Notamacropus eugenii: one gene and its partners. The protein of the gene in region 1 interacts with the protein of each later gene in a pairwise test. Links are inferred from orthologs where the notes say so. Each region holds a gene or a part of one and is shown in the gene's direction. Other genes may lie near its edges. The genes, in order: VPS52, DDX6, TSTD2 and USP2.

Region 1 (7,491 bases):
GAGTTAAGTGTCTAAGGCTAGGTTTGAACCCATGAAAATGAATCTTCCTAACTGCAAGCTCAGCACTCTATCCATTGTGAGTGACACTTAGTTACCCCATTTTTATAGCCTTTCAAGTACTTTAAAGCTATGACCCTTATTTCCTCTCAGTCATCTTCCCAAGGCAAAATACACTGATCTCCTTCAACAGCAAACTCAGGATATCCAATTTCTGAATCCTCACCACTTGAATGGTTTTTTTCTCTACCCATTCCAGTTTACTGGCTTAGTTGCAGACTGTACCTTCCCCCAATCAAACTTGTATAAACCCTAAACACTACCTATAATTGCTGTTTTTCATATGTAACTCCTCCAATCTCATTTTAATGTGAAATGTCTATATACTGTAAAGCAGAGGTGTCACATACTAGGCCTTTAACACCATCTCCCTGCAGCCAGAATGCCCCAAATGAAAATGTAGTTGGAAAATGTTTTTCTAATTCATTATGTGGTCCCCAGGGAACATTCTGTATGTTTTAGTAGATCCTTGTTTCTTTCTGGAGTTGACACTACTGCTATAAATGAGTAGCTAGGTGGCAGAAGTAGGATCTGGAGTCAGGAAGACTTGAATTCAAACCCACTTACACTAGCTGGTTAAGTCAGGTAACCTTATTTGTCTGTCTCATCAACTGTAAAATGAGCTGGAAAGGAAATGGCAAACAATTCCAGCATCCTGGCCAAGAAAACCCCGAAAGGGGTCATGGAGGAGTCAGACACAATTGAAAAACAACTAACTGCTATAGAACACACTATGCCCTCATGGTCCAAAGCTGTTTTGTAAAAAAGCTCATACCTAAGTCACGTCTCCAGACTCCCACTATTCACATCCAATCCTTTTTCTTGCCTCTTCTATGAGAGATAATTTGCCCCATTCCATTTCTCCCTTTCTCCTCCCAATCTATTCCTCTCTCATCCCTTAGTTTTTTTTTTTAGATATGATCCCTTCCTATTCAACTCACCCTGTGCTCTGTGTGTATATAGTCCCTCCAACTACCAAGATACTGAGAAAAGTTTCAAGAGTTACAAATATTATCTTTCCATGTAGGAATATAAACAGTTCAGCTTTAGTAAGTCCCTTGTGATTTCTCTTTATCACATCTAATCCAAAGGTCTTCCATCTTAACACCTCCAGTCAGCCCATTATGCTTTTGGCTAGTTCTAATATGTAGTTTTTTTCTTATATCAAACCTAAAAGCATTTATTACTTTTAGTTCTGATTTCTTTTCTATGACAGTTAAAAAAACTTGAAGAAAACTGCTTTGGCAAGCCCTCTTCCCATTTTGGTACAGTGAGAACGTCCTGGCTCCAGAGTCTCAGGAAATGAATTTAAAATCTACTTCTACTTCTGATGCATGACTATTTATCTGACCATGGCAAGTCACAACTTCTCTGAGTCACATTTTCCTTATTTGTAAAATAAGGGGTTCAGACTAGACTAGTTCAGTGTCTTAATCTTTTTTGTGTCATGGACACTCCCTTTCACTTTTGGCAGTGTGGTAAAACCTATAAACCTCCTGTCAGAATATCTTTAAATATGCATAAAACAAATTCATAAAGGAAACTACATATTAGAAGTTAATTAAAATAGTACAACTACAGTAATTTCAAAGTAGTGGATAAGCCAAAATGACATACTGAGTTATCTATAAATACCATGGTTTGTTGCCTAATTTTACAACGGAAGGAAATGTTAAAACTACTGTTAAGAGGTTAGTGAAAATAACACCCCCTCCATCACTAAGAACTCTTGGACTAACTGACCTAAGGTCCCTGCCCACACTAGATTTGAACCTCTGAAAAACCTTTTCCAGCCCCAACATGTTCAGTTTAGTCAACATCAAGTGTCTACTATTTATCTGACTAGCTGGGAAAGAGGAAGGAGACCAGGTGCCATCCTGAAGTGTGCATCTACTGCAAGATGTTCTCCATAAATATACAATAATTGGGGGAGCACAGTCCAAGGTTAAGGAACAACCTATATAAAGGCAGAAAAGGTAATGCAAACCTGAGGAACATGTAGTCAAGTTATCACTATCCTTTAAATTATGTGAAAGGAGGGATCCAGATTTTGAAAGGCTGAGGCTCTTGACTTCCTTGAAGTACCAGTCATATACCTATCTTCCACAGGAAATCTTTCCATTCCTCTCAATTCTACTATCTTCCTTCTGTTGCTAATTTCCACTTTATCCTAGACATAGCTTGTTTGTAGACTTCTCCAGAAGGTGGTCTTTCCCATTATGTGTGGATGGAGATTGTCTTTTACCTTTCTTTGTACCCCCAGCACTTAGTGCGCTTCCTGAAACATAACAGGAACTTAATAAATGTTTACTAACCTCCCCCTCAATTCCCTCAGCCCTATTCTCTTGACTGCCTGCCCCAGTCTAAAATTGACCACCCCTCCCCCTCTTGTTTACTTTTTGCTTCTCATATACTGCCTTAATTTGAAGGCCTTCCTAAACAGAAACAGGGAAGTTTGGATTTGGGGAAGAATGGGATTTCTGCCTAGGACATGTGGAGAACAAGAAGCTTGACTCTCTGGTTTCACCCCAACTTAGGGCTTTTTTAGTAGAACAATGATTGCTGCTTCTATTTTTTGTCTTATCCTTCACCCAAGGTCTAGTTTCAAACCCTGCCTCTGCCGAGTACAAAAAAAAGCACAGCTGGAACACTTATCACTTACTAATTACGTTCAACAAGCGTGTATACAAAAAATTATACTTGGAATTTCAGGAGAAAGATCACTGTAGCCCTGAAGGGAAAAGCCTAGTAAAATAGGCCACATGACGAAATGCCCGAAGAAAAAAATCCAAGCTAGATGGTTAAAATAATCAGTAGTTTAGGCTACTTATACACTCTTGCACTTTTCTAAGCAAACGTCTCCTATTTGTCTTCCCAACTGCGTCTCAAGCTTTAGTGAAGGCTGGAACTGACACAGACTATACTGTTAGAGTTGGAAACGACTTCAAATATCACTCATCAACCCCTTCATTGTACAGATGCGGAAACCTAGACTTAAGACAACTTTCCTAACCTGTCCACAGCATAAGGGCACCTGAACCCAGCACTTCTCACACCATACCAGTCTGCCGTGCCTAGCACCGCGCTAGTACCACATGCTACAAGTACACAGATTCACAGACTTTAAGAGGGCAAGTAAGGAGGGGTGAAGCACAAGTCCAACTCCTAAAAGAACGAGTGTTTACACCGATACGTACCACTCGGTGTACAACAACCACTTTTGCGTTTCTTACGTCTTACTTCATCAAGTAGCACCCTTATCGTTTATGGGGAAGGCTGCTCCTTTTGCCCCAACCTTGGAGAAGATTCTTCTTCAATGTCTCTCAACAGTCCCTTTCTCGCCCGACCTTCCCGATCCACACGTCCGTGACTCTGGCCCTTACCTTGATGGCTGTGATGGCAAAAGCTATTTTCCGCCGTCCGTCAATGTTGGTGTTGAGCACTCTCAAAATGTGCTGGAACTTCTCGGGGATTACAAGAGACTAGGGATCGAGACAGCAGGGAGGAACAACGCGGTGAACACCAGTCAGTCCCGGTGCGCCCCGCGCCCCGAGTCACCCGTTCAGTTACAGTGGCAGACCCTTCCCTCTGCCCCTTAAACACACACACGGGGGCAGGTCGCCCACCCTCAGGCGCAGGGAACCCAGGGGGACGCTCATGCCTGGGCATGACGCTGGAAGCTCCCCAGGAAGGCGAAAAGCCACGGTAAAGGCGGCGAGACTCCCGGCCTTCGCCAGGGGGCCAGCCCCGCCGAGAGCTAGGGGAGCCCGGGCGACACCCGCCTCCCCCAGCGCCATTCTCCGTCCCTCCTATCCAAGCACCCAGGAGCCGGTTCCACGCCGGAGACCCTGCGCCCTGACCCAACCGCGCGGGCCTGCCCAGCAATCTCGCCGGCAAACCGCAGCCCTCTGGGCCGGGTCGCCCTCGGAGGGTCCCCGGTTCGGTCCGCAAACCCCCGACCCCGATGTCGCCGGATCCCTAGACCCGGGTGGGGAGCCAGTCTTACCATGGCTGCAACGGCGGCGTGAGAGCCTTCTCTGGAAGAGGAAACGGAAGTTACGTATTCGCCTTATATAGTGGCCCGCGAAGGCGGGGAGGAGGGGGAAGGGCGAAAGAGAGAAGGGAAGGCTTCGAAAAGGCCAGGCACTTCCTGATCTGACTCGTTTGCATGGACGTCACTTCCGGGCGGGGGCGTTCCGAAGGCTAATTCTTATGGCGTTGTTTCCGTTGTGCTCCTTTAAGTCCCGTCCGTTCTGGAAACGAAGGCTCGCCGAAGACACGGTCCCGAGCAGGCAGTGTGCGCACGCCGGTCTCCAGTAGAGAGGACTCCGGCAAACGAGCTCGGGGATTGGCGGGATGATTTTCACGCGCACGCCTTTGGGCCACGGCGTCATTCCTGCGCCTCTCTTGCGTGTACCCCACCCGCGGCGTAGACCGACCTGTTCCGACAGCCACCTGACGGAAGTGGCCGAGGGGGCGGGGCAGCGGCGGCAGGAATGGCAGCCCCGGAGCTGATGCAGCCGGCCGGCGCCTCGGACATGGACGAGGACGAGAATGCCCTGGTGAGGGGCCCGCGTCTGCGCTCCCCCCGCGAGGCTGGGAGTGCGGGGTGGGGGTGGGGCGGGGCTTGTGCGGCTGCGCGGAGCCCGGGAGGTGAGGAGCCCGGGCTGTCACTCACCTCCCGGAGCCCCAGGTCCGAGCGCGGGGCCGCCGCCGCCGCCTCAGTATGGGAAGCGTGTGCTGTCGTACCCGTCAGCCTCGCATACAGGCATTTTTTCCACAAAGGGTGGGCTTTGGTGGGGGAGATGTCCCCCATCCCCCACGTCGTTCCATCCCCAGCTCGTCTACTAACTGCTCTGTCTCCAGGGGAGCGGCCCCGGGCTCCAGGAGCCACTGCAGCTGGGAGAGCTGGATATCACGTCTGAGGAGTTCATCCTGGATGAAGTGGATGGTGAGGGATGATTAGATGCTAGGAACCGGGGCGGGCGGACCGGGACCGACCCTGGATTTTGAGTTTCCAAAGTGAGGACGGGCTGGAAGTTGCGGCGGGGCAGATGCCTGAGTTCTTGCAGGGAGGGCTCCTGGGAGGGAAAGAACTGTATGCCTGGATCCTCATGACTTCTCTCTGGGTCTAGTTCACATTCAGGCAAATCTAGAAGATGATTTGGTAAAGGAGGCTCTTAAAACGGTGAGACTCCCTACAACATCCTCTGTCCCTTGTCCTCTGTTTTTCCATTTCACACTCAGTAATGTTTCCCAAAGACTTCCATACCGAAATCCCCTGATATTTTTCTCTCATCGTAATCCCTGCCTACACCCTGCAGAGCATTAAGCTCAGTGATTTCTTTCCACTAAAATTGTCTTATTTCTGGTTCTCCCAGGGTGTGGATCTCCGTCATTATTCAAAGCAGGTGGAACTGGAGCTACAGCAGATAGAACAGAAATCTATCCGAGATTGTATCCTCATGGGAAAAAGATGGGAGTTTCTGTCACTGACTTGAGGGGTGAGGTGGAAGGTATGGCCAGAATTGTCTCCTCTCATCCCAGATGTGACACATGAGAAGGTGGGTGGTTGGCATGTGAGGGTTCTTCAAAGATTTGGGGGTCTCTGTCCTTTCTGTGAATTCTCTTAACTGCCCATGGCTCAGATATCCAAGAAAGTGAGAACATTGCATCACTACATAACCAGATCACAGCCTGTGATGCTGTCCTTGAGGTTAGTAAACCAATTTTTCATGTGATTCCCAATATTCTATGCAATCTCAATTGGCAGAGAAACACTGATAACCATTTCTAAGGTCCATGACACAACGAATGAACCAGGATTTAGTGCCTATAATATGCTAAGAACTCTGCTAAACTCTTTAATACAAAGACAAACATGGATTAGTCCCTGCCTTCAAGGAGCTTACACTTAGTGAGAGGACAGGGATAGATACAGCATTTACATACAGAACATAAGTTACTTTAGGGAGGTTTGCACTAGTAACTGGAGGGATCAGAAAAGGCTTCATGTAGAAAGTAGCACTTGAACTGAGTTTTGAAGGAAACCAGAAGTGAGGAGGGTAGGCATTCCAGGTATGGAGGAAGAGACGACACACAGTTGGGAGATCGGATGTCTTGTGTGAAGACTAGCAATCAGACTAGTATGCTTGGAACCTGGAATTCGTGGAGGGGAGTATTATATACTAAGGCTGGAAAGGTAAGAAGGGACCAGGTTGCAAAGAGTTTTAAATGCTAGATAGAGAAGTTTACATTTGTTCTTGGAGGTAATAGGGATGGAGCCATTGGAGCCTATTAAATAAACAAATATAGCTTAAAAAATACATTTATCATACATTTTATTATTTATTTTTGAAGTTTTTATTCTACATTTTATTTTTTATATTTTGTATAAATATACTTACATACAAAAATATGTAAATATAAATAAATAAATAGAAATTTACTAGGTGGTTTACCAGTTGCCTTGTTCCTATACCCTAAGGACTATGGGTTTTTTCATCTAACTTGCAGCTGGAATCTCTTACATATGTTATATCTTTCTATTAGAATACATGGAGTAAGGATTGTCTTGCTTTTCTATTTTTTTATCTCCATTGCTTTGCATGTATAAGTGCTTAGGAAGTCCTTTTTCACTCATTGTGCTTTAGGAAAGTTACTTTGGGGGCTATATAGAAAATGGTTTGTATTGGGGAAGAGAGCTGAGTTGAGTCAGGGAGACTAAATAGGAGGCAGTGGCAATAGTATAGACAAGAGGAGATGAGGGCTTGAACTAATGTGACGGCTGTAGTAGGGGAAAGGGCTTGATCTGAGAGATACTAGGGAGATAGAAACTGGAAGATCTGGAAACCAATTAAATATGTAGGGTGAGGGAGAATGAGCAGTCATGCTCAATGAAATGATGGTGACTGGGAGGTACCTTTGATCATAAAAGTAAAGTTTGAAAGAGCGGTGAGCTTGGAGGAAAAGATGAGTTCTGTTTTGCATATGTTGAGTTCCATATGCCTGAAGGATATTCAATTAGATATGTCTAGTAGACAGTTTGTGATGAAGGACTGGTGCTCAGGAGAGAGGCCAGACAGGGATGAATATATAGAGATGGTAACTGAACTCATGGGAGTGCATTTGGTTATTAATAGACAGACCTGGGAGAGAAGAGGGCCCAGGACAAATCCTTGGGGTATACAGACAAAAGAAATGACATGAATGATGATCTAGTAAAGAAGAAGTCAAGTAGGTAGGTGGAGAGTGAAAAGAGGGAGTCACAAAAACCAAGAAGGGAGAGAATGTTTAGAAGGACAGGGTGGTCATGTCAAGTAATAGCAATTGTGATAGAGAGGCAAATAGGATAAAGACTGAGAAGATGCCATTAGATTTGGCAAGTAATAGATCACTGGTGACTTTAGGGAGCAGCTTCAGTCCTCAGTCATG
Region 2 (7,776 bases), on another chromosome or scaffold:
GGTTTGATCTTTGTTCTTCTTCCCATTTATAGTTTTGCAGTTATAGTGAATATTGCTTCCTGGTTTTGTTTACTATGTATTAGTCTGCATAATAAGTCTTCATATGCTTCTCTGTATTCTTCGTTTTCATATTTCATGGTACGATAATATTCCATTTCATTAACTTTACTCAACAGATTTCTCTCCTGCCCTTTCCTATTTCTTTTTTATTAGTTATTATAAGTGATTGTTCCCTTAAGAAAGGCAGGGGAAGGGAGAGGGATACATTGGGAAATGAAGGTAAAGTAAAATCAAAAGATATAAAAGAACTTTAAAAATACTTGTTGACAAGATGGCAGAGTAGAAAGACGGACCTGTAGAAGCTCCCCCACATAGCCCATAAAATACTTGTAAAAAATGACTCTAAACAAATTCTAGAGCAGCAGAAGCCACAAAATGACAGAGTGAAAGAGATTTCCAGCCCAAGACAGTCTGGAAGGCCGAGAGGAAAGGTCTATTGCACAGGGAGTGCAGCAGATTGCAGCCCAGCATAGGACAGGACTGCTACAGGCTTCAGGGCACCACTGGAAGCAGCAGTTCCCAGACTGCTCAATCCACTAACGCCAAAGACAGCTTCAAAGGTCAGTGAGAAAGCTCTTTCACCTGAGTGAAAAGGGAACATGGTCTGGACCTGCCAGCAGCAGCCACTGCAGCAACAGCATCCATTTTAGAGCTATCTGCTTAAAGACCCTGAGGGAATTGAGTGGCTAATGTGGATCTAAGCCCTGAGTGGCTCTCCTGGGTTGCAGAAGAGTGCTGGCAATGGAGGTGGGGGTGGCTCTGGAGAGGGAACCCTGCTGAAGATCCTGGATAGAACAGAGTACTTGTGGTTGCTCCCAGACCAGAGCACAGGCCAGGACAGGAGTAAAATTCCTCCCTTGATTGTGCTACTTTGGAGAAAGTGAGAACTTATAGGTCCCCAGAGTATACCTTCCTCTTGACAAAAGACTCAAAAGTCAAGTAACTGGCTGGGAAAATGACTAAAAAAGGGGAAAAAGAATACGACTATAGAAAGCTACTTTCTTGTTGAACAGGTATTTTCTTCCTTCCTTTCGGATGAGGAAGAACAATGCATACCATCAGAGGAAGACCTAGAAGTCAAGGTTTCTGCATCCAAAACAGCCAAAATAAATATGCAATGGTCTCAGGCCATGGAAGAGCTCAAACAGAATTTTGAAAATCAAGTAAGAAAGATGGAGGAAAAATTGGGAAGAGAAATGAGAGCAGTGCAAGAAAATCATGAAAAGCAAGTCAACACCTTGCTAAAGGAGACCCAAAAAAATGCTGAAGAAAATAACACCTTTAAAAATAGGCTAACTCAATTGGTAAAAGAGGTCCAAAAAGCCAATGAGGAGAAGAATGCTTTAAAAAGCAGAATTAGCCAAATGGAAAAGGAGGTTCAAAAGTTCACTAAAGGAAATAGTTCTTTAAAAATTAGAATGGAGAAGATGGAAGCTAATGACTTTATGAGAAACCAAGAAATTACAAAACAAAACCAAAAGAATGAAAAAATAGAAGATAATGTGAAAAATCTCACTGGAAAAACAACTGACCTGGAAAATAGATCTAGGAGAGACAATTCAAAAATTATGGGACTACCTGAAAGGCATGACCAAAAGAAGAACCTAGATATCATCTTTCATGAAATTATCAATAAAAATTGTTGATATTCTAGAACCAGAGGGCAAAATAAATATTGAAAGAATCCACCAATCACCTTCTGAAAGAGATCTGAAAAGAAAAACTCCTAGGAATATGGTAGCCAAATTCCAGAGTTCCCAGGTCAAGGAGAAAATATTGCAAGAAGCTAGAAAGAAACAATTTGAGTATTGTATAAATACAATCAGGATAACACAAGATCTAGCAGCTTCTACATTAAGGGATCAAAGGGCTTGGAATATGATATTCCAGAAGTCAAAGGAACTAGGATTAAGACCAAGAATCACCTACCCAGCAAAACTGAGTATAATACTTCAAGGGAAAAAATGGTCTTTCAAAGAAACAGAGGACTTCCAAGCATTATTGATGAAAAGACCAGAACTGAAGAGAAAATCTGACTTTCAAACACAAGAATCAAGAGAAGCATGAAAAGGTAAACAGGAAAGAGCAATCATAAGGGACTTTCTAAAGTTGAACTGTTTACATTCCTACATGGAAAGATAATATTTGCAACTCTTGAAATTTTTCTCAGTATTTGGATAGTTGCAGGGAGTACACACACACACACACACACACACACACACACACACACACACAGCACAGGGTGAGTTGAATAAGAAGGGATGAAACCAAAAAAAATAAAGGGGTGAGAGGTATATGTTGCGAGGAGAAAGGGAGAAATGGAATGGGGCAAATTATCTCTCACAAAAAAGGCAAGAAAAAGCTTTTTCAATGGAGAAAAAGGAGGAGGTGAGAGAGAAAAATGAAGCTTACTCTCATCCTATTTGGCTTAAGGAAGGAATAACACACTCACTCAATTTGGTATGCAAATCTATCTTATATTACAGGAAAGTAGGGGAGAAGGGGATAAGTGGGGTGGGGAGATGATAGAAGGGAGGGCAAATGGGAGGAGGGAGTAATTAGAAGTAATCACTTTAGGGGAAGGACAACATCAAAAGAGAGAATAGAATAAATGGGGCACAGGAAAGGATAGGGGAAATATAGTTAATATTACACAACATGACTATTATGGAAGTCATTTGCAAAACTACACATATGTAATCTATATTGAATTGCTTGCCTTCTCAGTGGGGATGAGTGGGGAGGGAGGAAGGGAGAGAAGTTGGAGCTCAAAGTTTTAGGAATAAATGTTGAGAACTGTTTTTGCATACAACTGGGAAATAAGAAATGCTTGTAATGGGGTACAGAAATCTGTCTTGCCCTACAAGAAAAGAGAGAAGATGAGCATAAAGGAAGGGAGAGGTGTGACAGAAGGGAGGGAATATTGAGGGAGCAGGTAATCAGAATGCATGGCATTTTGGGGTGGGTAGAGGAGAAAGATGGGGAGAAAATTTGGAACTCAAAATTTTGTGGAAATGAATGTTTAAAACTAAAAATAAATGAACATAAATAAATAGAAAGGAAAAAAATACCAGTTGAATGAGAGAAAAGAATTTTAAAATCCTCTAGTGAAAAAGGCAAGATGGCACACCTTTCCAAACACAATGTTTTTATACTTTGACCATTGACTAATGCAAAGACGCCCCCTGGACCAAGATATACTATCTTTGTAAGTAATCTTTCTTGGCACTAGACGAAAACCACCTAAGAATCTAGCAAGGTCTACTAGCAACTAACTTTGCACCCAGGAACAGATAAGAACTAAAGGAGGCCTACAAATGGTCCACAGCTGAGTTCTAAGTTGGCTGAGCTGTCTAGATAAGGGGCTAAAGAACTGCTGCCTCTGGGGTATTGAGGTTCTATTAAAACCTGCCATAGATAGATTGGTGGATGACTAAACAAACTGTGGTACATAAATGTAATGGAAATACTCTGCTCTAAGAGATGAGAAGTAGGATGAAGACGGAGAAGCACAGAAAGATATCCACAAACTGATACAAAGTGAAGACCAGGAAGATCACATATACCATGACTACAACAATATTAATAAATGAATAACCACAAAATAATTGAAAATAAATGCTGAAAAATTTTAAAACAAGCTTGACTCAAAGAAAAAAGATGAGAAAACATCTCCTTCTATTCCTTTGTACTAATGGGGGCCCCTTGTGTTTGGAAGATTGCATAAAATATCAAATATTTTTCCCACTTATTGGGTAATTTTGCTGAATTTTTTCCTCTTAAAAAATCTTTGTTATAAGGGATCTCTATCTGGGAGGAAGAGTGTTGAGATACAGGAGCGAAATCTAGGTGAGATAAAAACAAAAGACTGATAAAAATATATTAAAAATGAAATACTAAATCTGAATGGGAGAGCTGAAGAAGAATTACATTCATTGTCAACATACCTTTTTCAACCTTCGTATCCTCCCTCTCCTTCTGCTGAAACCCAAGGTTAAAGCTTTGTTTTCTTGACTTTCTAGACCCTCATTTTCACCTCTGAACATTGCAACCAAAGCCTGTTCTCCATTTTTCCATGAAACATGAAGAGGAGTTGAGGTCACTGGATAGAGACCTACATGAATCTCTTTCTTTGGGGATGGCCACAACAGACAATAAGCATTTATTAAGCGCCTACTAAGCACCCGACCAAGCCCTGGAGATACAAGGAAAGACAAAAGACTGTTTCTCCTTCCAAGGACTTCACAATCTAACGGAGTTAGAGAGATGAAGGAGAGTATGTAGAACGAAACATGATTTACTGGACAATTTGTTTTCCTTCATTATGCTGGTTACCAGGGTTTTCCTTCTTTCCTCTCCCCCTCACAGTGGCGGGTAGGGTTGTGAGGGGGGAGGGGAATACTATTTTTTTAATTGAGAAAAATTAATTTTTTAAAAAAAGAAAGATTTGGACCGCCTCTAAATCCCCTCCCAGCTGTAAAACTTACTAACTTATTATGGATCATCCCATGGGAGGTGGGGAGGTGGTTGGGGGGGAAATAGATTTTTCCTCATTGAAATAAATAATTGAAGAAAAGGTTTGGACAGGCTCTCCATGCTGCCCCGCTGCAAAGGTGAGCCGAAGCCATGGGGGTCCTGCCACAAACTCACCTCCTTGTTCTCACAGAGGGCACCGACCCCCCTCCTTCGTCCCGTCAGCGCTCACAATGCCTGGCAGCAGAGCTACCTGCCTGGAGAGAGGCATGTGTACATTAGGTATCATTGCCGCCGGGGCTCCCGGAAGACCCCGGTTCGAATCCCAGCTCGGCACTACCGAGGTTAGACTCTTTCCCCCTCAGACGGGGGTCCCCCGAAAGAGGGGCGCCGAGCAGCGAGCTCAGTCTCCCCGTCTGGGGGCTGGGAGGGTTACGGGGGAGCTTCTCTTGTTTACTCTTATCCTGGCGGCGGGCACCACCGGAAGGCGAGATTTTTTTTCCTGGCACTACCCGCCGGACGCTCGCCCGCCCCGCCGCCGAGGCTCCCCGTCCTGCCCGCAGGACGCGCCCCCTCGCTTCGCCCGCCCGCCTCACAGGCCGCTCAGCCGCCCCGGGGTGCGCGGGTGGGGGATGGGGAGCGGGCACCTCCGCGCTGGAAGCAGGGAGGGCAGCAGCTCGGCCGCCCAGGAGCGGGGGTGCCTCCCTCCGGCCACAAGCAGGCGGCCCCGCCACCGGGAAGCATCAGGTCGGTGGTCGCCCCAATTCTCAGCCCCGAGCCCCTAGCCCGCGCCCCCCGCCTGGGGAGGGGGCCGGGCGGGCCCTCGCGCCCCCGCCCTGCCTGCCTCTGGGCCCCTTTTTGAGGGCGCGCCCCATCCCCCCTGACGCCCCTCAGAGAGGGGCCCCGAGCCCGCCGTGCCCGCCCGGCAGCCCCACGTCCCGGAGCCCCTGCTGTCGCTGCCGCCGGCCCGACCCCCCGGCCCTGCCGAGGTGGGGGCGCTTGCCCCCCGTTTTCTCCTCAGCGAAGACTCGGGCCCCCGGTAGATGGGGCGGCGGCGGGGGCGGCGGCGGCGGCGCAGGAGGCGGCCCCGGCCCGGGGCTCGGCCCGAGCTCTCGCCATCTTGAGGGGAGGAGGAGCCGCGGCCGCCGCCATGCGGGGAGGCAGGGAAAGAGGGAGGGCGGCAGCGAGGGAGGGGGCGCGGCGGCGGAGTTGGCTCGGCCCGGTCGGCGGCTTCGGCGGCGCCATGAGAGCGGGGAGCGGCGGAGGTAGGCCGGGCGCAGCCGGGACGCCGGGCGGGCTGGCTGGCGGGCGCGCCGGGGCGGAGCGCGGCGTGGAGGCCCGAGGGGAAGCTGCTGAGGGGGCTCCGGTGGCCCTGGGGCTGGACTGGGCCGGCCCGGCCGGGCCGGGGAGGGCTGGGCCGGGGGGCGGGCGGGCGGAGGGTTTCGGGGAGGAAGGAACCGCCGCCATCTTGGGAGCTTCGAGTCAACAATAAAGGAGCCGGGGACCCTGGCGGCGGCGGCCTCGGCGCCGTGACACAGGCCCCAGCCGCGGCCAGTGGGGTGAGGCGCCGAGCTCGGCCGCTGCCGAGGCGCGGGGGCTGCGGGAAGCGGGCCGGGCCTGTCAGGGGAGGGGGCGCTCCGGGGCGGAGGCCCGAGGCCCGGTCGGGGCCTCGGGGGCAGCCTAGGAAGCGGCGGGGGCTGCGAGGGGTAGAATCCGAAGGCGAGGGCCGAGGGGGGCCTGGGACCGGGAACCGAACAGGGCGAGGAGCGGGCCCGCGCCAGTGACAGCTTTATAGGGACTGGGGGATGTGGGGGCCGCAGGGCCGGGGGACGTGGCGTCCCCCTACTGGGGCGGCGGGGGGGGCATACTGCGGCTCCCCGTGGACAGTCCCCTCTCCACCCTCCCCCCGCGCGTGGACAGTCGGGGTGCTGGAATGCCCTCCGTAGGTTGAGGGGGAAGGGGGTGAGTCTTCGGGCCCCGAGGGGGAGGGGGAATCCCCATTGTTTCCCGCTGGCTGAGCTGGCGGGGCCGCGGCTGCTCCGCCAGCGTTGCGCAGATCCCATTGCAGGGCCCCAGCCTCTTTGTTTTTAAGGCCGAAGGAAGCGGCTCGGGATGGAAAATAACCGAGAAATGAGCGGCGCACGGGCGGGGGTGTCCCCCGAAGTCGTCGTGCACTTCTCCCTTCGACTTGTCCCCCGCTTCGTTCTCTTCTCCGTCCTTCCAGACCCACCTCCCTCAGAATGAAAGCCCCCACCCCAAGGCTCCTCCTGGGCTAACCCTAAAGGGAAGCTGCGCCGCCGTGGCAACAAAAGCCGGCGGGGCCGAGGAGTTTTGGGGTGCGGAGCTGTCATTGGCGAGCTCGTGCAGGAAGCGCTGCCGCTAACTCAGCCTTCCTCTCTGCGCTCCGGTGTAATTTCTGAACATGCAGCCATGGAACTTGGAGACGGAACTTGGTCTGCTGAGGAGAAGGGGGGGATGTTATTGCTCTTGTGAAGCGGCCGTGCAGCTTCTCTCCCCGTTAGAAGTGGGGTCCCCATCGGCCGGCTGGGCGAGCGGGAGCGGAACGGCGGCGTTACCGAGCCGGACCGGGCGCCCTTGTCATGCCCGGCGCTTCGCTGGCGTTCAGTCATCCTCCCAGGCTCCTCGGGTGAGGGTGCTGGCGGTGTTGATGCTCGCAGTGTAAACCTGTCACAACAGGAAGCCTCCGAAGTGAGCGGCCGTCCGCAGGGCCGCGGGAGGGTTTGTTTTAGCAGAATTCTGGCCTTCTTAGGAGCAGACCGGTGTTCGGTAAAGGCCACCCAGCCTTTTCTTCAGGAGATGAGTTTTAGAGTCAGGGAACGTCTTCCTGAGAAGTTTCCGTCCAAGTCGTCTTGGTTTTCTTACACGCTGCTTTTGTCTGCATGAGCCTCGGTGTTTGTTGGCGGACCGAGCGTGGCTTACCGAGTTTTCTAAAAGGGCGCATGGCTCATCTTAGTGGGGGAAGGCAGCGTGGTCTGGGTGAACAGTCCGGCTTCTTTTTCCCGACGTTTTCAAGGCTGGCACGCGTAGTATTTCGCAGAACCACCGTCTGGTGTTTTTGTAGAAAGGAAGTCGGGCCCTTCCTTGCGCGCTTTTTGTTTGCTGCGCTGTGTGCGGTGTGAACTTGGACACGGCACTTTTAGAATGCAGAGCTTGCTCGAATTAAAATTTAAACGATTCAGGTAGCCTTTAAGTCCTCTGGCCAGTTTCCAAGCAGAAGCCTAC
Region 3 (7,060 bases), on another chromosome or scaffold:
TACCTTGGCCTTACAAGTTGAGGCAGAAAGAAGTATCAATAAACTATCTTAAGAGCAATGGTAGAGATGATACATTTTAAGAACACTAGGGAAGTTGTGGTAGCTCCCAAAGCTGTAACTTGTATAATAAACAGTGTTACAATGTAAAGGTTGTCTATGGAAGAATCCTACTAAATACATCTTGCAACGATTCTTAAAAACTTCATCATGAGTCAAGATTTACTAAGATATAAATAAAAATTTATGAGAAAATTGGAAAACAAAAGTTTCAAGAGAAGAGAAAGATGCCTTTGATTGTGTAAGGCTTTAACAAAACTAATCATCTTTTTCAAATTATGCTCTCCCTCACACTAACTGAATGGACTCTAGTCTCTAGTCTTCATAAAGTTAAGCTATAAAGTCAAAAAACATTTAACTCAAGGTGGATGAAATCTATTTAGTATTAATTAGGCAGAAATTAGGAGTATGAGCCAAGTATTTTCTAAATATGTTTCTGTTTTTTTCTATGAACTTCAGTCATTCATCTCTCCCCACATTTCCCGAACTTTTTTCATTCTGCTTATGACAGCCTGTCCCTTAATCCCAATCTATATCTATCTGAGACACAGTGCATGCAAAGGCAAAAGTGGGACAATCTCTCTCTTTAAGAATCAACTGAGGTATCACCCTCTTCATGAAGAGTTCCCTGATCCCCCCAGATGAAACTGTTCTGTTCCTCCTCAATTTTTCCTAGAGTATTTTGAATTCATCTTTCCTTTATTCCTATTATGCTCTACCTTGTATTATCTGTATCTATATAAACAATATCTTTTCCTCCAGCAGAAAAAGTTCATTTAAGACAGGGGCTATGTCATTTTTCAACCATGTATCCCCAGTTAAGGGCAGTTTCCTACACTTAGTAGGCACTTGAAATGTTTTTTTTAAATTAAAATGAGAATGATTTACAATATATATTTGCTATGTTAAGTGATGATAGGTTTATAGTTGTATATTTCCATTTAAGACATATTTTTTTCATGTTCACATCTCTGTGGGAATCTCCTTTTTTTAAAAAAAAGTGGTAGTGAAAAGTATCAACTTGAAAAAGGTGTAAAAAACTAAAGTTCCCTCCAGAGACAAAAATAGGGATTACTCTTATGCCAATGTAATTTAATTACTGTGCATGTTACATATTTTTTAAAAACCACATATTTAGTGTATTTAATTACTTGTAAAAGACATGAAATATACTTCAGTGGATAAATATACTTAGCAGACAGTTTCAATCAATTGTAGCCAGAAAAATCATCATTGGAGTGCTCAACCTGAGTGACTCCTCATTTACCTATGCTTGTCCTCATCTCTGGGACTACATTCAAAATCTTTCCAGTTTGACAGGGTACGATAAAGCCTGGCATCCACTGACACAACTTTTGAAAATCCAAGGAGATGGACTTTAGCAAAATACAGATTTGCAGATCACCTCTAAATTTGCTCATTCTGACAAGATCTCTAGTTCAAATGAATAAAAAATGTTACCTAAGTTCATTGTCAACCTCTCTGATAAAGAGAACAATCACATATTTATTTCAGAGCACTACAGAGGAAAGGTATGGCAAAAAAGATTTTAAACTGTTGGAGATCAGATGATCATACTTCATCTTTCTACTTCTAGGCATCTAGCACAACAGTTAGCACCAATCAAATCCAGATCTAAGATTTCATCCCTGCAGGGAGATTCCAATAGCAAAAATTCTCTCCTTGAACCAAAACTAACAGGTAATTATTTCAGCTACTTTAAAAGTCTTAGAAGGTTGCCTGGCACAACTTACCCAGAGTCACAAAACCAATACCAGTCACACACAGGATTTGAACTCAGGTCTTCCCAGACTCTGAGACCAGATCTTTATCCTGGAGGTGTGGTAAGAAACAACCCTTAATAAATATTCAGATTCACAGGCACAGCCACCTAACTTTACATAGTAAGATGAACTGCCAAATGTGACAAAGGTATTAAGCAGCAGATTTAACCCAGGTTGTCTGGATCCGAAGCTATTAGCTCTTTCACCTGAACCAAAACAAATGAAATGTAAAACACTAGTCCCTTCCAGAATCATATTGCATTTCAAAATGCATATTTTAAAATAAATCTTAGTTGTTAGATTAATACTATTACTGTTGTTACAGTCACATAGAACATTTTCTGAGATTTTTACATTTTTATGAGAAACTTCTGATACCTGCCTAGTTATGTTACTGCAGCTTCAACAAGTCTCCATAATATGTATTTCCCTGAACATGAATTTGGAATCCTGCTCTGAAGAATCACTCAGGGTCTTGTCCTTTCCCTCTAGAGACTACCAATAAAGTTACAGAATTCTGTTTAAAGAGCGCAGCTATGATAGGTGTCACACGGTGAACCTGTTGCCCATCCTTTCTAAGTGTCCACAAGAGAACGCCCCTGAAGACAGACAGCTCTGTCCACAGCAGGGGCTCTTAAAGCCAGTCAGTAATGCTGTTGTCCTTTTAAATCCTTCGATAACCACATTTTCAGATCACTGGTTTCCTCGGAAATCCTCCTTCATGCACTCAAAGACGTTATCTGAAAAAAGGTCCACAGGCCCCGAAGGAGCCCACGACGCGCACGAGAAGGTGAAGAACCTTCATCTAATGAGTGATGCCAGTTTCATATTTTTTGGTTAATGCTCGAAATAAGAACAAGACGTGGGTGAAAGTCAAACAGGCCCCTCCTGCTCCATCTCCTGATGCGGACCGAGGTCCTGGCTCGGGCAGCCAGTGCTGGGAGGTGACGGGGCGTGAACCCCGGGGGGTCTCGGATAGATCTGCGTTTATCAATAATGGCTAACGTTAGCACAAGACTTTACTACTTACAAAGGCTTTACGTATATTCGCCCTTGATCTTCACAACAATGCTGAGTACATCCTAAGTTATCACGCCCACTTACAGACGGGGACACTGAGGCCCCAGCGGCCCTACGTCACGGCTGGGAGCGGCGGAGGCCGCGCTGGAAGCCGGGGCTCCCGGACCAGAGGCCTGCAGCGGGATCCCGGGAGCGGGCCGGCTCCGCAGCCCCGCGCCCGGCCCGACCTCCCGGCCGCCCGCCCGGCCCGGGCCGCCGCCGCCCGCTCACTTACCGTCGTTCTCGTCGCTGTGCCGCCGCCGCGACATCCTGCCCGCCGCGCGCCCCTCCGCCTCCGCGGCCGCCGGAGATCGCGGGAAACCCGCGCCTTTCGCTTCACGGCAGCGGGAAAGGGCGGAAGCGGCGAGGGGAGGGGGTGGCGAGGCGGCGCGGGGAGCTGCGGGCCGGCCTGCGGCGCTGACGCACACGCACGCTAGAGCTCGCGCGAGCGAGGCGGGCGTGGAGGCTGGGGGAGGGGAAAGAGGGCACCTCCCGTCTCCACCGTCCCGAGGACGTCCCGTCAGGGTCTCGGGAGGCCGGGCGGGAGGCGTCGCGTGTGAGGGAGCCTGAAGCGGGAGAGCCCAAGGGAGCGGCCCAACAAGGCCGCGGAGCGAACTTCCGCCGCCTTCTCTCTCCCCTCCCCTCCTCCCGCTCCTCGCGCTTAATCTTCTTCCGGGAGAACAGGGAGCGGGGAGAGCCAGTTCCTAGAGCGTCGGTCCCGGCTGGGCAGGCGCGCGTCTTAGGGAAAGGGCGGGGGGAAGGGAGGAGGAAGGAGTCTCGGCCAGACGCTAGGCCGCGCGGAGCCGAGGTGGTGACGCTCTGGGCCTTCTGTGCCACTCGATGGTTCTCCCGACTGCCCTTGCGCCTGCCGGACGTAGGCGACGTCTGGGCTGAGGGGCCGTCTGTAAAGTACCGGTCGGGAGGAGAAACGTGCCCGCGAAGGGCTCTCGGGGGACTGCGTGTTCCGGTGGTTGCTAGGATAGACGGGCCCGCGGGTGGAAGCCCCCCAAAGACGGGAGCCGGCCAGGTAGGTACTTCCTGCGACCTCCCGGGTGTTCTGTTGACGCTTCGGACCCCTCCCCTCCCCCCGGGTCAGTGCGCGTGGCACGGGGGCCCCCGGGGGGGTGGGCCGGCAGTCCTACCCCTGAGAGCCATAACTGACGTTGATGGCCGGCCTGGAGACCGGCAGGCCTCGTTAAGGCCTTCCTCTCTAAGGTGGGGGTTGTTCAGTTCTGTTTTACGGAGGGGGAAACTGAGGCAACTCTGAAGAACTGAAAACGAGTGTGAACAAAAGAGGAATGGAAAGTCACACGGTGTGTGCACAGGACGGTGAGCCTGGAACACCGGGGTGAAGAGAAGACACTGGCAGCCCGAGGGCCCTCTGCTGGCACTCTCTGGCAGTCTGGAGGGGGGGAAGGCTGCAGGTAGTGGCTCAGAGGCTGGAGCGCCGGGCCAGAGCAGGTCACTCACCCGCTGGAGAAGCCCCGGGGGGCCATGGCCGAGCTGTCCTGCTGAGTGGCCAGCCCTCTTGGTGTGACGGCCTCCAGACCTGTGTGTCCGGCAGTCTGTCTGCCCTTCCTGCTGTCAGACTTCAGCTTCAGTGTAAGGCCTGCATCCCCCCTGTGTCACCGAGCTTCTGTGTTTGAAGTAAAGATGCCAAGGCCTGTGGGTGGCATGCACCTTCTTTTCTGGGTCTTCAGAAGAGGCAGGGTGGCAGCACCCACAGAGGCAGCTGTCCGGTCCGCTCCCCCCCTTGTGATGGTGGACTGGCCTAGAAGCCAAACTAACACCAGCTGGAGGTGGTACATGCCAGCTGTGCCAGAGGTCCTCAGGCCCAGGGTCCTGCGCTGCCTCTGCCAGGCTTGGAGGAGAGGTGGTTTTTGTGCCTTGGCTCTCCTTCTGGATTCGTTAAGTTACCCTTTCACTTGCCAGCTAGCGTAGAGGACCCTTCCCCCTTTTAGAGTCCGTGATTCTCCCCTTTCCCTCGCCCACCAGAGTCTGTGACCCATCTGGCTTTAGCCCGGGTCAGCCGAGCGAAGAACGAAGAATGGACTAAGAGCTGGTGGTGAACGATTCAACGGAACCACAGGCGGTGGAGTCTATGAATTAGGGAGGTTTCCTAGCCTCCTAGCTGAACCCAGTGCTGCCCATAGAATAAGAGTGTGTGAACAGGCTGACAGGAGGGCATGATTCTAAGCCCTGAGAAGCTCATCGACATCCTGAGGCCCAGGTGCTCGCTTCTCCAAAACAGGATAGTGATGAGGAGTAACTTCCTTTCAGTGTGTGTATAAATACGTGTCTTTATGTAAGTAGATTTTTTTTTCTGTAAAAGAAATAATATAGGGGGCGGAGCCAAGATGGCGAAGTAGAAAGACGCACATACACATAGCTCCGAACACACAAACCACAGAATGGCTAGAGGGGACCAAGCCAGGGCGAATTCTGCACCCAGAGACCACAGAGTATTGGAGCGAGGGAGATTCCTGCTCCGGAGAGACCTGCGGACCTCTCGCGGGGGGGGTCCTTCACGCCGCGGACTGGGCTCTGGGACGAGGACCAGAGTATGGCCCTGCCGCGGCCACGACACTGAGGGGAGGAGATCCGAGAGGGCTACGGGGATGGGATCTCCAGCGGCCACGCGGGTCCCCACAGAGGGACCTGCAAACCTCTCGCAAAAGGTCCGTTGCACTGCAGATGCAGAGCCCAGCCCGGACCTGCGGCGGCGGCATCGGCGGCCACGGCTCCAAGACGCACAGATCTGAGAGGGCTCCAGAGGCGGGATCTTCAGCGGCGGCACGGGCCCCCCCCCACCAACAGGTGACTGAAGGGGGTGGGTGAGAGAGTCTCGTTGGCGGGTTGAGAGGGGAGTGGGGTGCCCCCAAGGCTCGGCCCCCCCCCCGGGAGGTGGGGGCTGAGAGGCAGCTGCGGACGGGGGCTCCCCAAATGGGCAGGAGCCTGGATCCATTGTGGAAGGTCTGTGCATAAACCCCCAGAGGGAACTATGCCTGAGAGGCGGCCCTGCCCCTGACCACCTGAACTTAATTCTCACACTGAATAGCAGCCCTGCCCCCGCCAAAAATCCTAAGGCGGGAAGCAGCATTTGAATCTCAGTCCCCAAACGCTGGCTGGGAGGACCAGGAGGCAAGGTGGGTGTGAGGAGAACATTCAGAGGTCAGGCCACTGGTTGGAGAAAATGCCAAGAAAAGGGAAAAGAAATAAAACTATTGAAGGGTACTTTATCAGAGAAAAGACACTTCCTCCCTTCCTTTCTGATGGGGAGGAACAATGCTTGCCATCAGGCAAAGACACAGAAATCAAGGATTCTGTGTCCCAGCCCACCCAATGGGCTCGGGCCATGGAAGAGCTCAAGAGGAATTTTGAAAATCAAGTTAGAGAGGTGGAGGAAAGACTGGGAAGGGAAATGAGAGGGATGAGGGAGAAGCATGAAAAGCAGATCAGCTGCCTGCTAAAGGAGAACCAAAAAAATCTTGAAGAAATTGGCACCTTGAGAACTAGCCTAACTCAGCTGGCAAGGGAGGTGCAAAGGGCCAACGAGGAGAAGAATGCTTTCAAAAGCAGAATTAACCAAATGGAAAAGGAGATTCAAAAGCTCACTGAAGAAAATAGATCTTTCAAAACTGGAATGGTACGGATGGACGCTAAGGACTTTTCGAGAAAGACAGATATCTCAGAACATACCGCGCAGATTCGAAAAATGGAAGATAATGTGAAATATCTTATTGGAAAAACAACTGACCTGGAAAATAGAATCAGGAGAGACAATGTAAAAATTCTGGGACTACCTGAAAACCATGATCAAAAGAAGAGCCTAGACATCATCTTCCATGAAATTATCAAGGAAAACTGCCCTGAGATTCTAGAACCAGAAGGCAAAATAAATATTCAAGGAATCCGCAGAACACCGCATGAAAGAGATCCAAAAAGAGAAACTCCTAGGAGCATTGTGGCCAAACTCCAGAATTCCCAGGTGAAAGAGAAAATATTGCAAGCAGCTAGAAAGAAACAATTCAAGTATTGTGGAAATACAATCAGGATAGCACAAGATCTGGCACCCTCTACATTGAGGGATAGAAGGGAATGGAATAGGATATTCCAGAAGTCAAAGGAACTAGGACTGAAGCCAAGAATCACCTACCCAG
Region 4 (7,847 bases), on another chromosome or scaffold:
ATACAAAGTCCAAATAGATGGACTTCAACCTTTTTTTAAGACAAACTCCTAAAGTAGGTTACATTACAGAAGATGAACTACAGCTTTATACAAACAAAACAATATTTTCCTTCAGTATAAAACAGAAAATAAATAAATTCCCCTTGTAAATAAGCCTTATATAAATTCTTAAGTACTCCTTAATCATTAGTGTTATATACCCGAATTATGTACCAGATGTCCTAATTAGGTCTTTCTCAGATACATACATCTCCCAAGACTAAATTATTTTACACTAAAATTGTTTATTAAAAATATTTATTTCAAAGTTTATATTCCTTCTCATAGGACACAATATTCTTACTACTTAATATATGTGGAAAGGAATATTAATGAGTGCCCAACAAGTTGGTATCAACTTTACTGTCTGTCCAAGATTTTTGTTTGTAATCAGTTTAAGTCTGCGTATAAAACTTACAAAATTATGTACTTGACATTAAATGCCAACTTTTTAAAAATAAATAAAAGAGAAATAAATCCAGTATCTCTGCAAGGAAACCTCAAATGGGGGTCATGAAGAGTAGGCCATGACTCAACAACAACACAGCTAAGGATAGGAGATATAGTCTTAACCAAACAAGAGTTAGAGGCAATTACAAAAGATAAAACAGACAAGTTTGATTACCTGAAACTGAAAAACTCTGTTCAGACAGCATTAATGCATCTCAATAAGAAGGGAAGTGATCAGTAGGGAAAACTTTGTATCAAATTTCTCTGATAAAGGTTTGTATCCAAAACATATAAAATATTATCTACACGTACAATACATACATATATACATATATGTATATATGTATATATATACATATATGTGTGAATGACTAATAGCTTGTTCCCAAATAGATAAATGGTCAGAGGATATGAACAAATTTCAAAAGAACCACCAAGTATTCACAACCATATGAAAAAGTATATCAGATCACTAATAGAGAAATGCACATCAAAATAACCATGAGGTTTCACTTCAAAACAAATTTACCAATTTGCAAAAAATGACTTTTTTAACAATGTCAATAGTCAGTGTTGGAGACCTTATGGAAAGGCAGGCATGCTAATATTTTATTGGTGGAGCTGTGAAATGGTACAACCATTTTGGAAAGAAAGTTGGAATCATGCAAACAAAGTGACTAAAATGTCCATACCCTTGGAACCAGAGACTCCATTACATGGTTTATATCATAAATAAGTTATCAACAAGAAAAAAAGTCCCTATATGTGCCAAAATATTTATGGCAACATTTTTTTTTGTAATAACTAAGAATTGGAAACAAAGTAGATGCCCATCAACTGGAGAATGGCTAAACAAATTGTGGTTCATGAATGTAATGAAATACATGTAGTTGTTCTTCAGTTGTTTTAGTTGTATCCAACTCTTCATGACCCCATTTTGGACAAAGATACTGGAGTGGTTTGCCATTTTCTTCTCCAATTCATTTTACCCATAAGGAAACAGGGGCAGCCAGGGTTGAGTGACTTGCCCAGGGTCATAGTAAGTGTCTGAGGCCATATTTGAACTCATGAAGACTCTTCCTGACTTCAGGCCCAGCATTCTATCCACTGAGCCACCTAGTTGCACATAATAGAATACTATGGTGCTGTGAGAAATGATATGTGTGTGAGGAATACAGAGAAGCATGGAAAGATCTATATGAACTGATCCAGAGTGAAGTAAGCAGAGCCAAGAAAACCACAAACACATTAACTACAATAATGTAAATGGAAAGAATAAAATCAAAAGTAAAAATGAACAAAATTATGAAGTCCAAATAGAACTTGAATGAAAAGATATGAGAAAATAGTCCCAAACCATCCACAGGTGTTACAAACTGCATTATTTTTAAGACTTTTTCAAGTACCAATCAACTGTGCTGAGTTTTACCCCTCTCTCTAAAAAATACTATTAACAAGTATGCTGAGTTTTTCCCCTCTCTCTAAAATATACCATTAATTATATAAAATAGCTCATAGGGAAGGGAAGGGGAGGAATACGTGGAATTCTGTGGTGATTGAAAAAAATAAAATAAGAATAAAAATTTATTTTAAAAATATTTTTTAAGAAGATCGGAACTCTAACTCTGTTTCCTTTCATTATACCATGTGGCCCCAACCCTGAATCAGAATTAATTTTTCCTCCCTCCTACCAAGAGATATGCTTGTAAAAGTTTAACAACTATCACGCCAGGAAAAAAAAAATGTACATACAATACACTTTTAAATTTAATCTACATTAACATTTTCTTTATCACTTCTTTACTATAAAATTAATAAAACAATAAATCAAGCCTTAATTTGTAGGGTTTGCTGCTTTTCGAGGTGTAAATGCTCACATTGAAAATTTAATAATCTGTTCTCTAGAGCTGGTGGGAGATGACTCCAGCACACCCCTGCCTCCCATCCAGAAGTTCCCATTTTGTATTCTCTAATAATAGCTGTCATTCAAAGATCAATTGAAAAAATTAAATATTTAGTATGGAAATGGCAAGACTTAAAACAGGAATGATCACTAGTTTCAATTATTTAAAAGGCTGTCATAGGGAAAGAGAAAGTATACTAACTGCAGAGGGTAGAACTTACAGATATGTGTGGAAATTATAGAGAGACAAATTTGAGCCCACCTTTTTTTGGGAAGAAGCTTCCAACAATTAGAGCAGACCAAGCATAGATAACATGGCTCAAGATAGTGAACTCCCTGGCATTTGAAGTATTCAAGAAAAACCAGAGAGGTCAATTACCTCTCCCACATTCCTTACAGGGAATTCCTATGGTTGGTCTGGAAATTGAAATGATGACCTAGAATTTAAGATTCTAGTCCATGAGTCAAGGATTTATTAAGTGTGTCCAGCACTGTGCTAAGAATTCTAGGATTCTATCTACCCTGGGTGACTTGTAACTTAATCCACTCAGTTCTCCAATGCTGTCCTAGTTGATACATCAGCCAGTAGGGAAGCACATGGTCCATTTTACCTGTTGAGACTTATAACCCAAATCATTCTTCACATTCCGTTGGATTTTTTCTCCCATCCACCGCTCTTCTTGCAACGAATCCTACAATACCACTGCATATAGAACTATACTCCCTCCTACTTCTTGTTTTGGGATCAATAATCAAATCTGCACTCTCCAACCATCTCATGGACCCATAACTAGCTTGAGATACAACTTCTATCCTGGTGGGGGGAGGGATTAAAGGGAGGGAGGTCAAAGGTCCTAATTAATAGCTCTACCATTTTTTCTAGAAATCCCCAACTGTATTTCACTTCATTCCTTACTGTCTAGACAGTTTCTCCATAACTTCCCCAACTGCCTAGCTGCCTCATACCATTTTTCCTTCTCACTCTCTCCAGTGCTGAAAGCACAAATCATGATTAAATCAGTTCTATCATTTGTTCCTGCAAGAGTATATGGCCCCATTCAAGATGCCTGTAATTAAAATGTTCCTCCCTGCCCACCACTCTGCTGTATATTTGCTCTCGCCTTTTAGAATGTAAGCCTGGCATTTTGCAGGAGACATCTGGTCCATCCCAGCCTGCCTACTCAATGATCCTTTAAACTGTCCTTTTACAGTGACTCTCCAACCCAGATTTTATCTGCACCTGGCCCACCCCAGGCATTCACCACTCCTTAATTGATCCATATCTTCTCACTGTCTTTTCTCATATACAAGTAACAATCTTACCCTCACTACTACATTGCTCAGACTCACTTAGAATCTAGCTGGCTTCTATTGGCCTCACAAATAAACCTTGCTACTTAGAATGAAAGAAGGATTGAGTGGTCAAATTCTTTCAAGGCAGACCCCCTGAATCCTTCATTTCCAGGTTCCCAGCAAGCCAAACCACATCATAATGTGTCAAGGCAAGCCAATTGATTCTTCTATTGGTTCCACATTCCTATGTCCTCTCAAACTAAAAAATCCTTCCTGGAACACCATTAACATATTTGCTATCCCCCCTAATTAGAATATAAGCTCCTGGAGGACAGAGACTGTCTTACTTTGCATTTTGTTCCCAAAACGCTAACACCAAGCAAGCCCATAATGATTCTTTCATTCAAAGCCGTTAGAAAATGCTGAATGAATGATGAAAACATAAATATCCAAATTCCTGGTTTCTGCCCCAGTCTTTTCCCATACAACTCCTGTTAACTGAGCTCCTCTCACAGACTCCCTGCCTCATTTTTCTGAGCACTCTCAAATGAACCCATTTCTATTACCCCGGTGGGGAGCAGTTTGGAGCCTTTCAGAAGCGAGAAGTGGAGGGCCGAGCTGAAGGGGAATGAGAGATCTTCCGACTGAGTGGAAAGTAACAGCGAAGGTTGTTGGGAGGCTGATGTATTTATTGCTAATGAGATGAATGACCTGAATCCATTCCAGGAAGCTTAGAGCTAGTCGGGTGGATGCTGATTGGACCACTGAACGCGAGGTTGGTTGCTGTAGCAATCTGCACCCGGGAGAATATTGGTCAAAAACTCAGATTTCACGGTTGCTCCCCCCCAAATAATTTGCAGAACGGGAGGGTTGGACTACATGGTCTTTAAGTTCATTTCTGACTCTAAATCATAACTCCTATGGATCCTCTTGCTCCTACACCTTTGCAACACTCTCTTCCTTTTCCTCCAGTCTCCACCCCCTTTCGCCCCGCGTGCTTCTCTTCCACGTGGCTCTGTTTACATCAGTTGCCTGGGAAACTCAGGCTGGGAGGAGCTCCATCAAGTCACAATAGTAAAGAGCCAATGGGTGCTCCACGTCTCAGTGACGCAAGGACGCACAGGGCGTGGCTAGGCCGTCCTGGAATGCCGTATGGCGATTCCCCGCTGGGTGGCGCTGTTCTCCCGGGGAGGTCTTCATTGGGGCCCCTGGCGGAGGTGGGGAGAGGCGGGCAGGAGCCGGGGCCAAGGAGCCCTCTGCGTCAGCTGTTGCTCACTGCGCCGCGCCAGTGTCAGGCGGGACTTACCCGCAGCTCCATGCCTGTTTTCGGCTTGGCACATCCACCCTTAGAGAACCAGGTAGGTGCCACCTGTTCGGGATTGGGGCAGAGGGAGGATAAGGAGCGACCTCCGCTGGGGCAATGCCCGGGGTGCCCCCGGAGCCAGAGCGGACCCCGGGGACGTGGGGGTGGGCACCCTGCGGGGCCAGGGCTCAGGCTCGGACACTCGTGGGGGGAGTGTCCGCCGTGCCAAGGCCGGCTCCTGCTCTGGGTACCAGCCCGGAGTACTGCTGCTTTGCCGTGCCCGGAACCAGGCTGCCCTGGGTGGCGTGTGCCTGGGTATATTTCGGAGGAGCGGGACGTGTGGTGTGTTGTAGCCTATTGTGACAAGAAGGTTGTGTGCCGCTCATTTACTGCCCCCCTGGAGGGTTTTCTGGGGGGGAGGGGGAGGGGAGGAGGAGGCGAGAGAAGAGAGGAGAGAGAGAAGAGACAGACAGACAGACGAGCTAGTGTGGTCTGACTGTCAGCCGGGGGAAGGCAGCAGTTCAGTAGTGGAGGAGAACTGCTGCCAATCTCAGACCGGAGGAGGTATCTTTATAACCGCCCCCTCCCCCCCCATCATCTAAAGCAGCAACTTAAACTTTACGTTAATAGTTATTCACGTTTTTATAGTGCTTTAAGGTTTGTGCTTTCCCATATTACTCTTCCCCACCTCGAATAGGACTGAGCATCCCCACTTCCACCTTGCTTTAGGTTTAAGGATGAGAGAGCTGGATCTCACTGGTACAGAGCTGAGACTGAGGATGGGGAGAAAAACTAGGAAACGACCCATTGCCTAGATTATACTGAGGCTTACAGAGTTGTGGGAGACCAAGGAAAGCTTGGAGAGGGATCAGGTGATTGGAAGTGCTGAAACTCAGCCCCTTTGATGCTGTAGACTCATGCCCCCTTGGGGTCAGGGAATGAGGACTGGAATGAGGACCTGAGTGCATCATCAGGACCCAGTGCTGAGTCAGTGGCATCAACTGGGACAGGGTGGAGACAGGTGCCTTGAGACACCTACACAAAGGTGGGCTACGACAAGGACTGTGAAACTCTTGGAGAGCAAGATGAAAAAAAAGGCCTAGAAAGGTGAGAAATGCCATTTTTTCCCCTCTATATCTAGTATAAAGGCAGAGCCCTATGAAATGGATCCATCAAGAGTAGGACTCAGTTGGGTATTTGCCTAGGCACCAGTGGGACCTTGTACTTTTCTCACTTTTTTAAGCCTAAAGGAAACAGCAGTGGTCTGAAACGCCTGGACAAACACTTGATGTCTCCTTGACTAAGGCATCCTGGGAATTTGTTCAGCCTACTTTGTATACCACAATGGTGGTGGGACCAATCCTGCCCTGGTTATGAGAGCCAAGGGATTTATACGTAGACATATAAAAGAAAGCTTTGGAGTTGCTTTTTAACTTTAGAAGCAAGCATGGCACTTAGGGTTGACAGACAGGACTCTTTTTTTTTTCTACCTAGAAACATGTAACCTCCAGATAATTTCAGTCCTATGCTTCCTTTCACCCCAAGCTACAACCAGTGCACTCTGCCACCTTTTCTCTTTCCCTTTCTTTTCATTGAATCCCTTTTTGTGCTGCTTCTTACTGTATCCTTCCCTGAGTTCTTTTAAAGTCACCCTTCTGTCTAGTACCTACTCATTAGGGACAGTACCCTCCCCCACCTTAGGTGGGCATAACACTGCCCCTTTAAGTCTCTCTGGATCCTGGAATGTGAGTGAATTGCTGTAGCCATCCCTCTGAGGTCAGATAAGATACTATATATATCAGAGCCAGTAACCTGAGCTCCGGATTACCCAGCCTGGAGTCGGGCTTCACTCCTCCACCTTCCACTCCATCCCATGCCCCGCTGGGGAAGGAGAGGCCCCCAGAGTCCCGATCAATCCTTTTCCCCTGGACACAGGTCAGTGACTGCCCCCACTATGCATCTAAACATACATAGGTGCTGCTGCCTGGTGCCTGCCCTTCTAGTAGGTCTGGGGGAGTTGGGGCAGGGAGGGGGTGGTGGGTATAGATGACAGATGATTATCTTATCTATCCAGCCAGGTCTAGTGCTGTGAACCAGGCCAAGACCTTAGGAGATGGAGAGCAAAGGAGATACAAGATCTGGCCAAGGAATGGAAAGAACCGGCTACGCAATAGACTTAGGGGACCTCTTCCTAAGGGTTTTCCATATTGCCTAAAATGTCCAGAACACTATTGTATGTTCATGGTAGTAGTGAAGCAAGTTTGGGAGCATTGAGGCAATGATTTGGGAGCACTAGCACCATTTTTGCTTTCTCTGGAAAATATAAAGATATGCTTCCCAACTAAGACACTACCGTGGACCCACATATGTACCTTCTTTTTCAATTATTCATTGTTAAAGCTTTAATCTGATCTCTGGGTCCTACTTCCTTACCTTCCCCACCAGGCTCCTAAGAAACTTGTAGGAAACATTAAGGGGGTTTCATTTTTCTGACTGATTGCCACCACCCCTAAAGGAGTCAGAGTTTGTTAATCATATGAGGGATAATGTGCTCACCCCTGATAGATATGCTTGCTAAAAGAAGGCTGAGAACAGGCTCAGGTTAGGGGAGGAGGTCTGAGAATAAACAGAGCCCTTGACCAATGAAAATATCAACTATACCATCCCCCCTCTCCTCTCTACCTGTGCTCCTTTTTCTGTCAGAACACCCCCAGATCTGATCTGCCTTGGACTGGCACTCATGCCTTAGTGCTTTCCTGCTTTCCCCAAAGAGATGAGCACAGTAGTTTGGGCCCCTTTCTTGCCCCCCACCCCACCTACCTTCCATAGAAGGCACTTTAGTCTGACCACATTCCAATC

The links.
Region 2: the proteins of VPS52 (region 1) and DDX6 interact in binary tests that used the Homo sapiens proteins (3 or more experiments, as listed by UniProt). The two-hybrid records come from large-scale screens. The link is inferred for Notamacropus eugenii from reciprocal best matches to the Homo sapiens genes VPS52 and DDX6.
Region 3: the proteins of VPS52 (region 1) and TSTD2 interact in binary tests that used the Homo sapiens proteins (3 or more experiments, as listed by UniProt). The two-hybrid records come from large-scale screens. The link is inferred for Notamacropus eugenii from reciprocal best matches to the Homo sapiens genes VPS52 and TSTD2.
Region 4: the proteins of VPS52 (region 1) and USP2 interact in binary tests that used the Homo sapiens proteins (3 or more experiments, as listed by UniProt). The two-hybrid records come from large-scale screens. The link is inferred for Notamacropus eugenii from reciprocal best matches to the Homo sapiens genes VPS52 and USP2.

What each region holds. Positions count from the first base shown.
Region 1 is NC_092873.1:89,290,932-89,298,422, reverse strand, and holds the start of VPS52 (vacuolar protein sorting-associated protein 52 homolog), read left to right. Parts: upstream 1-4,482; 5' UTR 4,483-4,553; coding exon 4,554-4,619; intron 4,620-4,923; coding exon 4,924-5,008; intron 5,009-5,192; coding exon 5,193-5,245; intron 5,246-5,438; coding exon 5,439-5,514; intron 5,515-5,705; coding exon 5,706-5,773; intron 5,774-7,491. Other genes in the region: RPS18 (small ribosomal subunit protein uS13), read right to left, coding at 3,441-3,539, 4,064-4,066. UniProt on the Homo sapiens protein: Acts as a component of the GARP complex that is involved in retrograde transport from early and late endosomes to the trans-Golgi network (TGN).
Region 2 is NC_092876.1:280,062,915-280,070,690, forward strand, and holds the start of DDX6 (probable ATP-dependent RNA helicase DDX6), read left to right. Parts: upstream 1-4,769; 5' UTR 4,770-4,877; intron 4,878-5,026; exon of another isoform or gene 5,027-5,280; intron 5,281-5,714; exon of another isoform or gene 5,715-5,798; intron 5,799-5,970; exon of another isoform or gene 5,971-6,092; intron 6,093-7,776.
Region 3 is NC_092874.1:314,403,490-314,410,549, forward strand, and holds the start of TSTD2 (thiosulfate sulfurtransferase/rhodanese-like domain-containing protein 2), read left to right. Parts: upstream 1-4,053; 5' UTR 4,054-4,198; coding exon 4,199-4,213; exon of another isoform or gene 4,214-4,229; intron 4,230-5,128; exon of another isoform or gene 5,129-5,205; intron 5,206-7,060. Other genes in the region: NCBP1 (nuclear cap-binding protein subunit 1), read right to left, coding at 3,136-3,169.
Region 4 is NC_092876.1:279,333,993-279,341,839, forward strand, and holds the start of USP2 (ubiquitin carboxyl-terminal hydrolase 2), read left to right. Parts: upstream 1-4,830; 5' UTR 4,831-5,043; intron 5,044-5,901; exon of another isoform or gene 5,902-6,095; intron 6,096-7,847. UniProt on the Homo sapiens protein: Hydrolase that deubiquitinates polyubiquitinated target proteins such as MDM2, MDM4 and CCND1. Isoform 1 and isoform 4 possess both ubiquitin-specific peptidase and isopeptidase activities.